Linked DNA regions of Macaca fascicularis. The protein of the gene in region 2 interacts with the protein of the main gene of each other region in a biochemical or structural test. Links are inferred from orthologs where the notes say so. Each region holds a gene or a part of one and is shown on either strand. Other genes may lie near its edges.

The links.
Region 1: the proteins of SATB1 (region 2) and PIAS1 form a complex in vitro, tested with the Homo sapiens proteins (2 studies listed by BioGRID, with this or other methods). The link is inferred for Macaca fascicularis from reciprocal best matches to the Homo sapiens genes SATB1 and PIAS1.

What each region holds. Positions count from the first base shown.
Region 1 is NC_088381.1:44,795,668-44,800,066, reverse strand, and holds the start of PIAS1 (E3 SUMO-protein ligase PIAS1), read right to left. Parts: upstream 2,898-4,399; 5' UTR 2,886-2,897; coding exon 2,862-2,885; exon of another isoform or gene 1,974-2,861; coding exon of another isoform or gene 1,968-1,973; intron 1-1,967. UniProt on the Homo sapiens protein: Functions as an E3-type small ubiquitin-like modifier (SUMO) ligase, stabilizing the interaction between UBE2I and the substrate, and as a SUMO-tethering factor. Catalyzes sumoylation of various proteins, such as CEBPB, MRE11, MTA1, PTK2 and PML.
Region 2 is NC_088376.1:29,937,866-29,942,369, reverse strand, and holds the start of SATB1 (DNA-binding protein SATB1), read right to left. Parts: upstream 3,043-4,504; 5' UTR 2,969-3,042; intron 2,894-2,968; exon of another isoform or gene 2,450-2,893; intron 2,314-2,449; exon of another isoform or gene 2,049-2,313; intron 1-2,048. UniProt on the Homo sapiens protein: Crucial silencing factor contributing to the initiation of X inactivation mediated by Xist RNA that occurs during embryogenesis and in lymphoma.

The DNA.
Region 1 (4,399 bases), on a different chromosome or scaffold from region 2:
GATTCACAATCTAATTTTTATTGGCAATATCTTGAAGTGTTGCAGCTTGCGCAATTCCTACAGGGGATAAAGATCTATCCGTTTTTCCCATCTGATCTTTGCAGATTTCTTATAGATTTAAAAGGACTCACTAAAAAAGCCATGAGGAAAATAATTATGAATACACAGCAAAATGAAGTATGGGGCTGAAACCTAAGATAATGAAAAGTCACTGAATGTTATGCAAAGCTTCACAGTTGAAGTACTCTATTCCCATTTAAAATTTCAAAAAAACTAGATTTTCTTCTTCTTACTGATTTTTCGTATATTAGGAATGCATATTTACCTCCAAAAAATCACAAACAAAAAGCCTTCCGAAAATATCATTTCCAAAAGGAGTATCTGCCAAACCTTACTGCACAGAAAATTATATATACACATTCTTTTTTAACACATTCTCAAATAACTATGGTAGGCGTTCCTGAGATCACCTCCTCCACCCCCCAAAAAAAGAACAGCAAATCTAACCACAATAAAGTATTAACCAAATTTTTTTAATGCAGTTATCACCAGCTAAGCAATTTATCACACAGCTCCTCAAAGTCTCAGACACACACAATGACATACCAACATGTCAAAACAGTTATTATAATTTGAAAAATTATACAACAGGAACATAAAAGTAGAAAAAAAAAACTTCCTCTGGAAAAACTCAAGTAGATTTGGGAGAGAGCAAAAAACGAGACTAATTTTAGAAAAATAACATTTCTTCAAGTGTTTGGTGTTTATCTGATACTGGTTCACTTTCGTAAAGAGAAACTTTACCTAACAAGACTCACACCAGGGATCTGATCCATCCCCAAAGGCACTTTCTTAAAATGAGAAAGAACAAAGAAGGAAATCTCTCAGCATGTGCTTTCCATACTAGTTTCTTTGGACAGCATCAAGAGTGACAATATAGTCTGCACAAGCTTTTCGGCTTTATTCTATGGTCCATGTATAACAACTGATTAGCTATCATTCAAAAGAACTCCTAACAAAATAAATACTAGAAGGCAAAGATCACAGCAACATGATGACTCTATCATAAGAGAAAAATCATAGAAAACATGTCTTAAAGTTGTGTGCTTTTTTTTTATTTCAAGGGTTAACTATCTCCAAATATTCAAATTCCTAAGGCTTTCTCATTTCAGTCAATAGTTTGAAACTGGAGAAAACCCAAAACCATCCATTCTAAATCTGCTCTCCCTTAAATAAAGTTGTAATTATAAGTACATTTTAAAAGAATGACACTCAAAGCCAATACTTTAATACCTAAATCTTGGAGTGTAAACATTGTGAAGTTATTAGGAGAAAAGATCTTTCGGTGAGGATATTCCACAGGAAAAACTCTACAGAATCAAATCTGGCATTTGGTTGTTCCAGAAGTTGTCGTTTCATTATAACGGAGAAAAAAATTAAATAATTTGTATTAATTATAAAAAGAAGACTCTCTCCAAAGATTTACAATTGTATATCCCAATCTCCACTCTGACAGAGATGTCAGTTCTCTGGGTCGAGACATAACCAGCTGCTGGGTTCACACACACAGGAAGCCACAGAGAAGATCGCGTTCAGAGCCTCGAAATAATACGCGTTAGTTAAGAACTGCCTGCTACTAAACCAAAATTATTCAAACGGAGCCCCATTTGTCACAATCCAATCATAAGGGTTCCACCCCCCCTCCCCCAACTGCTTGTGTAGTGGTATATCTGCTTCGGTAAAGAAGCCATCATCAGGTAAAGATTGGGGTGGGAGAAAAGCGGGGAAAAGGGGGCACCCTTTCATCTAATTTCGTGAGGCGTGAGTAATTGGTACAGTTAAGAGGAACGTTCTATTTATCGGGGGTTAGAGTAGCATGAGGGGAGAATTTCGTTCAAATCAACATGGCCAGCAAGATGTCCCTACAAACAAAAGGCAATGGGGGGATATAAACACGAACCATTCACCTCCATCAGCTACAGCATCGCCATCATGGTGTGTGCAGAGACCCCCAAAGGCTCCTCTCACCCTCCACACCAGCCAAGGCAAGAGAAGGGAGAGAGGTAGCTACATCCCCCTCTCCCAACACTGCTTCCAAACACACACTCTTCGAGGGGGTTTCTCCCCTCGGCTGCCCGGAATCAGAGAGAGAGTAACGTCCCGCCCAGGCTGACTCTCCCCCGCTACCTCTCAGCCGAACCCCAATGCCGGCCCGGGGCTCGCTAAACTTTACCAGAGCTTCTCCCCCAGATCCCCACCCTATCGCCCCGGGATCGCGCTTCCCTCAAGCGGGGCACCCCAGGCGCTTCCTGAAAGCGAGCAGCCGGGGAGAGCCGAGTCCGGGGCGGGGGCGACAGGGATCCACGGAGGGGCGGGGCGGCCGGAGCCAAGTTCCCGGGGGTCTGAGAAGAGCGCCTGACAGGAGCCCGGGACTGCAAAGGAGGAAGAGGAAGCGGCCACGGGGAGCTTTCCCAATCCCCCCTACAAGAGCACCCTGCCCCCAGCCCCAGCTCCCCATGGGGGGCGGGGAGGCTAACTAGAAGGTGAAAAAGCCGAGCCCAGGAGACAGCTGCAGCCCCTACCTCCCGACTCCCTATCTCTTCCCCCGCCACCCCCGCCAGAGGCGCCCACAACAATAACACGCCGGGGACGACCCGTCAGCGCCCCCGAGGCACCCGGGGCCCGCGGCCCGCCGCAGGCGGGCCCCCTCTGCTGAGACCGGGCGCGCCTCTCTCCCTACAACTCCAGGCCCGGGTGGAGTCAGGCCCGAGCGGCCCCCCAGGGTCGGACCCATCCCCCCAGGCACCAGAGGCGCCGTCTCCGCGGCCGAATATTAGAAGTGAATTCGAGCTGCGCTTTACCTTTAGTTCCGCACTGTCCGCCATCTTGCGTCTGTCAGCGCAAGCGCAGTGAACCTCGCCGGGGGCCGCCGCTAGACCCGCCCCTCTAGCCGGCCTGGCCCCGCCCCGGCCCGCCCCTCCACCTTCCCAGCCCGCCTCTGGCCTCCGCCCCGCTTAGGGCGCTCGAAGCCCCGCCCCGGACACGTACAACTGCGAGACAGGCACGTTCTATTTAAATAATGGCGCCAAGCGGCGAGGTTTGACAGTTACTACCCCCTCGGCTTCCCAGCACCCCCATCCTCGCTCGGCCAGCGCCTCCCGGGAAGGGCAGGGGCGAGAGGGATGCTGGCCTGAGCCCCATCTCTCCGCGGTCCGTGGAACGCTTCTGCATAGCTTCGACGCCTACGGTCACAGAAACAATGCTGTCCTCCAACCCCTAATAAGCAAGGCTTTTTCAGCACCTGCTACTTGCGAGGCTACCAGTGGGCTAAAAATAGAAATCCGTTACATTTAAGGGGCCCTTAATGAAGCATTTGTAGCATTATTGGCTCAGATCCTCCTCTTGATAACGCGGTGAGGTAGGCAAGGAAGAGATAATTCCCAGGGTATAGATTCAGAAATGAAAGCTCAGAAAGGAAATGTGACTTGCACAAACAAGAATTTTTGCGAGGTGGCGTAAGACAAAATTTTGAAGGTGTTCATTAACATTTTTGTTTAAAAAAAATGTATTTAGTGACTATCTGTTGGCTTTGTGCTAACGGCTAAATATACATTGGGGAATCAAAGTCCCTGCCCTTCTGTAGTTCTCTAATGGGGAATCAGACAAGTGAACGAACAAAGATACAATTTCAAATGTTATTTTTTGAGTACCAGAAGGGAGCAAACGGTCCATTGAGAAAGAAGAAGGGTTTGGGAGATGTACTTAATTCTGGGAGAGTTTTATCCACTAAATTGACATTTAAGTAGACTTGATGGAAGGATTATTTCATTCTTTTTTGTCTCTACTAAAAGCCTTCTGGGCCGGGCGCGGTGGCTCAAGCCTGTAATCCCAGCACTTTGGGAGGCCAAGACGGGCGGATCACGAGGTCAGGAGATCGAGACCATCCTTGCTAACACGGTGACACCCCGTCTCTACTAAAAAATACAAAAAACTAGCCGGGCGAGGTGGCGGGCGTCTGTAGTCCCAGCTACTCGGGAGGCTGAGGCAGGAGAATGGTGTAAACCCGGGAGGTGGAGCTTGCAGCGAGCTGAGATCCGGCCACTGCACTCCAGCCTGGGAGACAGAGCGAGAGACTCCGTCTCAAAAAAAAAAAAAAAAAAAAAAAAAAAAGCCTTCTATATACCTCCTCCCCAACCCCCACTTTTTACTAATCAACTTTGTCTCATACCTCATGGAAAAAATGAAGGATATCAAATAAACTCCCTTCTCACCATCAAAACTACCCTTATCTGCATAGAACATCTGGGTTACTATGAATAAAGTGTCCCTGCGCCTAGGAAGGCCAGTACCTTTACCAGTGACCTGGATTTTTTTCACGCACATTCCTAAGGGTTTTGCT
Region 2 (4,504 bases):
TTAATATAGTATATACACATTGTCTACAGTGTATTTAATAATGTGCTTAACCAAGTTAATTAAAGTATTTATGTCTGGTGATTGTGTTAAACACTTGGAGAGGTAGTGAAAGATACAGCCAGTTACTTCTGCTAACTAAAGTTGAAATTATGCACTTATTATAACCTTTTCTAACAATGTGAGAAAAACAGAGTAAATATATTAAATTTGTTTCACAACAGATGCTTAGGTTGTTAATATTTAAGATGCCTATTCATGCTATTCCTGTCTGCACATTTGTCAAAAATGTAAGCTTGAATGCTAATGTTTGCCAGCAGACTAGAGCAGCCAGTATATGAATGTACTACTGTTCTACAAAATAATATGCAATAGAAATAAAGGACTACTGCTAAATCATAGCACTAGTATCATACAGGAGATGAGAGGTTTTTAGAGCAAACACCTCAACCTTGGTTTTCTTCAGCCTTAAAGCATGGGTTTTTGTTTTTGATTTTTGCAGCTACATTTGACCACAGAATAAATCTCACATTACTGACATCTCAGAAAAATCCACTTTAGATAGAGTGTAAATTTCAACTAAGTTTCAACGGGATGAGTTACTCTGTCAGCAGTACAAACACCGTAAATATCAGAGATTGCTTAGGACAAAATCTGACACCGAGTGGTCACATTTTACTCATTCTTACCCTACCCCCTCCCCCTTGAGAAAGTCAGGTCCCCTGGCCTCCAAGTATGCAAACATGGAACCCCAGTCAGTCAGAGCAGTAAGGTTCTCTCCGGGGAATAGGGCATCTTTCTGTTTTCCCTGTCTCTTTTATAACCATGTGGAGTCCAAGTCTTAGAACATTTGCTTGTAAGTCCGGAATGCCGCTGAGAAAGTTCACCAAGGAAGGGCGCAGAGGTCAAAGTTGCCAACCAGGACACTTTGAGAGAGGACCCTGTGGTTGACATTTGTTAGTGAAATTTGCAACACCCCAGTGGAGGCCAAGGCCAAAACCTTCAAGGAGATCCCTATGCCCCTTTCCCCTGTTGGTCTTCTGAGGTCATCCCAAGAGGAACCTGTGTTTCCCCGGTACGCACGTGGCACTCCCCGGACCTGCCACCTGCCTGCTTCGTCCTTCTCGTCGTGGTTTCCCAAACCCCAGTTCTGCCGCCCCAGGAGCCTTGGCACTGGAGCAATAGGAAAAGGCCACCGCGCTCGGGTCTGGAGAGCAGGAGGGAGACACGGTGTGGACTCCGAGGCTGCACCTGTGATGTCCCGGCCCCAGCTAGGAGGATGGCCCTTTCTTCTGCCTCTTGCCCAACTCCAAACCCACATTCACGCCAGCAGCCTCTCCCGGACCAGCCTCGCTACAGCCAGCGAGGGCTCGAAATGGGGAGTGCCGCCGCTTTCAAACTCCGGGCTCCAACTTGAGCGCCCCGGCGCCCGAGTAGCTCCCGGGATGCAGAAGTTGCCACAAACTTCCCAGGCCCCTCTTCGCCGATGCTTACAATCAGTCGCGCCGGCAGGGAGCGGAGGGAGGCGGAGATGGACCGGGGAAGGATGCTGAGCAGACTCGCGATCCGGTGGGGGAACATTAGCACTCCGGCAGCCCACTCCTCCAGGCACCTTACTGCCCGCCCGGCTCCAGAACGCACAGAGAGGCTCCCCCTTTCCCCATTTGCTTCCTTCGGTCTTTTCCACTCCCCTTTCCTCTTCTAAAAGGGGCCACACCGGTGACCTGAAGGAGTTTGTTCAGCCAGGGTCTGTTGGGCAGGTGTGGTGATGTGTCCACACCCAGACAGAGAACAAACGGCATCTTCAAGTGCCCTATCCCGATCGCTCTCCCCTACTTTACCAGCCCACCCGTCCGAGGTCCGACTGCGTGAGAAAAGGGGCTCAGAAGACCCTTGAAGCCCTTCGCCCACGAGAGGGGAGCCCAGCCGCCCCAACAGGGGACGCGGGGTGGGTGCTACAGAGAAGTTTGGTTTGATTCCGGAAAAAGAGAGACAGAGATAAAACAGTAAGAGTAACAAGGGGAAAAGGGAGGCAAAAGAGCAGAACTCACTCAGGCATGGACGTTGGGGGCGGCGGTGGCTGTCGAGTGCGGGCCTGAAACCAGGAACGGCTCCCCGGGCGGGCGCGCCGGCGTCGGACTTCCGAGGCGGCGGCTTCTGCCTCTCCTGCCGCCGCCGCCGCCGCCGGAGCTGCGGCTGCCGCGGAAGTTAATTGCAACTTGACTTCAAGTTGTCCTCTTTCCCCATCCGAAGTGGGCGTTTAAAGGGGAGAGCGAGGCGAGGAGCGAGCGAGCGAGCGCGCGGGGCCAAGGGAAGGAAGGGAAGGAGGGGGAGGGAGGAGATGTTAACGGGCGGGGTGGGGGGGGGGAGAAGGGGGAGGGGGCGGCGGCGGGGGCGGGAGGGGGAAGGGGCCGGCGGGAGCTGCTCTCGGCTCGGCGGTCGCGGCGCCCGCAGTCTGGAGGCGCACCGGAGCGGCCGGAGCGCCCCCCGCGGGAGCCCGCAGCCACCCGGGACGCGCATCCAGCCGTGGCGCTTCGGGCCGGGCACGCTGCGCCCGGGGGCTCTGCAGACCCCGCGCAGCCGCCGCTTCGGAGCTTGTGCGGCGCGGGCTGGCCAGCGGGGCGGCCAGGGCCCGGCCCGCCTCCCTAGCGCCCGCCCGGCTTCTCCCCCTGGCGGTGGGAGCCTCGGCGGCCGCTGGCTACACTAGGCGCACTGAAGCCCGAGCTGAGCCGAGCCCGAGCCGCCGCCGCCGCCGCCGCCGCTGCTGCGCGCGGCTCCCGGGCTCCCTCCCAGCGCGCCGGCCGGGGTGTGGGGGGCGGCGGGCCGGAGGGGCGAGGGCGGGCGAGGGGGCGCGCACGGGGGTTGGCGCGGAAGACAGGACCCTCAGCCTCGAGGGGTAAGTGTGGGCGCTTGGGGGTGCGCTTGTGGTGCGCGGCGCCGTTCTCGTCGCCCGCCAACCCTGCCCCCTCACCTCTCCGGGGCCCCCACCACGCGCACCCCTCCTGTTGTCGCCTGCGGCTTCCTCTTGTTGTTCGTTGTTTGGCTGGGTTTTGGGGGGTGAGTAGAGGGGGTTACTGTAGTGTGTGTGCAGGCGGAGGAGGAAGTCAGGTGAGAGGCCTCGAAGCACCCCCACCCCAACCCAGCCTGCGTGGGGTGTATGCTTCCCCACTAGGGGCATGTGGGCCAATTTTTTTTTTTTTTTTTCTCTGTCAATGTTCGGTCGAGACGATGTTTCCTAGAGGGCCTCCTTCACTTACAGCCTGGTCTGTCCATCTCCCTTCATGCCACCCTCGTCCCTCTTAGCCCCCTATCCAGGAGCCTTGCCCCCCAAGTGAGGAGCACGTGGCGGAAGGAGGAGCAGGCCCTCTCTTGAAGACCCCCACGCTGTGACCCAGCCCATTTGTTTAAATATTTATCCTCACGTCACCAGCTGTACTTTTCAGCCCACTGGAACAAGACGCCTAAGCAAGGTCCAGTTTCCTCAAAAAGCTGGGGGCAAAGCGGGAGAGATGAGGATTTTATTGACAGGGGACTTGGGAGAGAAGGGGTCAAGGAACCTTCCCAAGTGGAGACTGAAACTCAAAATATCTCTACAAAAAGACTAGGGTGACTGGAGGCTCAGGACCGCCGGCTTAGGAGAAACTGGAGCTCCATCAACTTTATTTCTCTCCCCCTGCCTCTCCTCCCCTCAGCTCTGAGGAAGCTAACAGGTCTTTTGTTTTGTATTGTGTAGCCTTTGGGAAATTTGCATTGAGTATGTCAACAGAAAATTACTACTGTTTACTCAAAGTTAAAGGGATTGCAGAAAGAGAAAACATAGTTTTTACTTTTCCTCCTCTTTGTACGCGTGTGTGTATTTGGCAAGAAGTGTAGTTAGGTTCATGGCATGAACTGCAAAACGTCAGGTTGTAACAATAAGGACTGTAGAGCTGCCTAGGTGTATTTTTAGAAGCCGCACTTTCTTGAATTCCTTTCACACAAGGCTTGCTCTCTCATTAAGTCCCCATAAATAATTTTATTGAGAGAGGAGGGAACTGTGGAAGCAGGAGGGAGATTGCTAAGATTTCCATCCTGCCAGCGCACAGCACTGTTTGCAGGGAAGTTCCTGGAAAGTGATTGTGGGCTGAGAATTCAGTTTTTCCTAAAAGCTCTGTTAGGTCCTGTTGTGTCAGATGGCTATGAATAAAGCACGCTGGGAAAATCCTGATATCCGTGCAGTCTTATTTTATCCTTTACACAGTGGTTGATTCGACTTTCAAGCCCTGGTAACAAACACATCAACTGTGCTGTATTTTTGTGTGGTTTTTCTAAATAAAGGAGAATACAGCATGTATTCATGCTGCTTTTCCCCCGTATCCATGGTTATTGAATTCCCTGGAATTTATTCATTTTTTTTCAGTTGATCATCAGTTTATGCTGAGACCATAATTCCAAACATATAGGAATTTTTTTAAATTATGAATTACGGTTCTTTTAGTGAACCAACCCTCCTTTTTAAAGACACAAG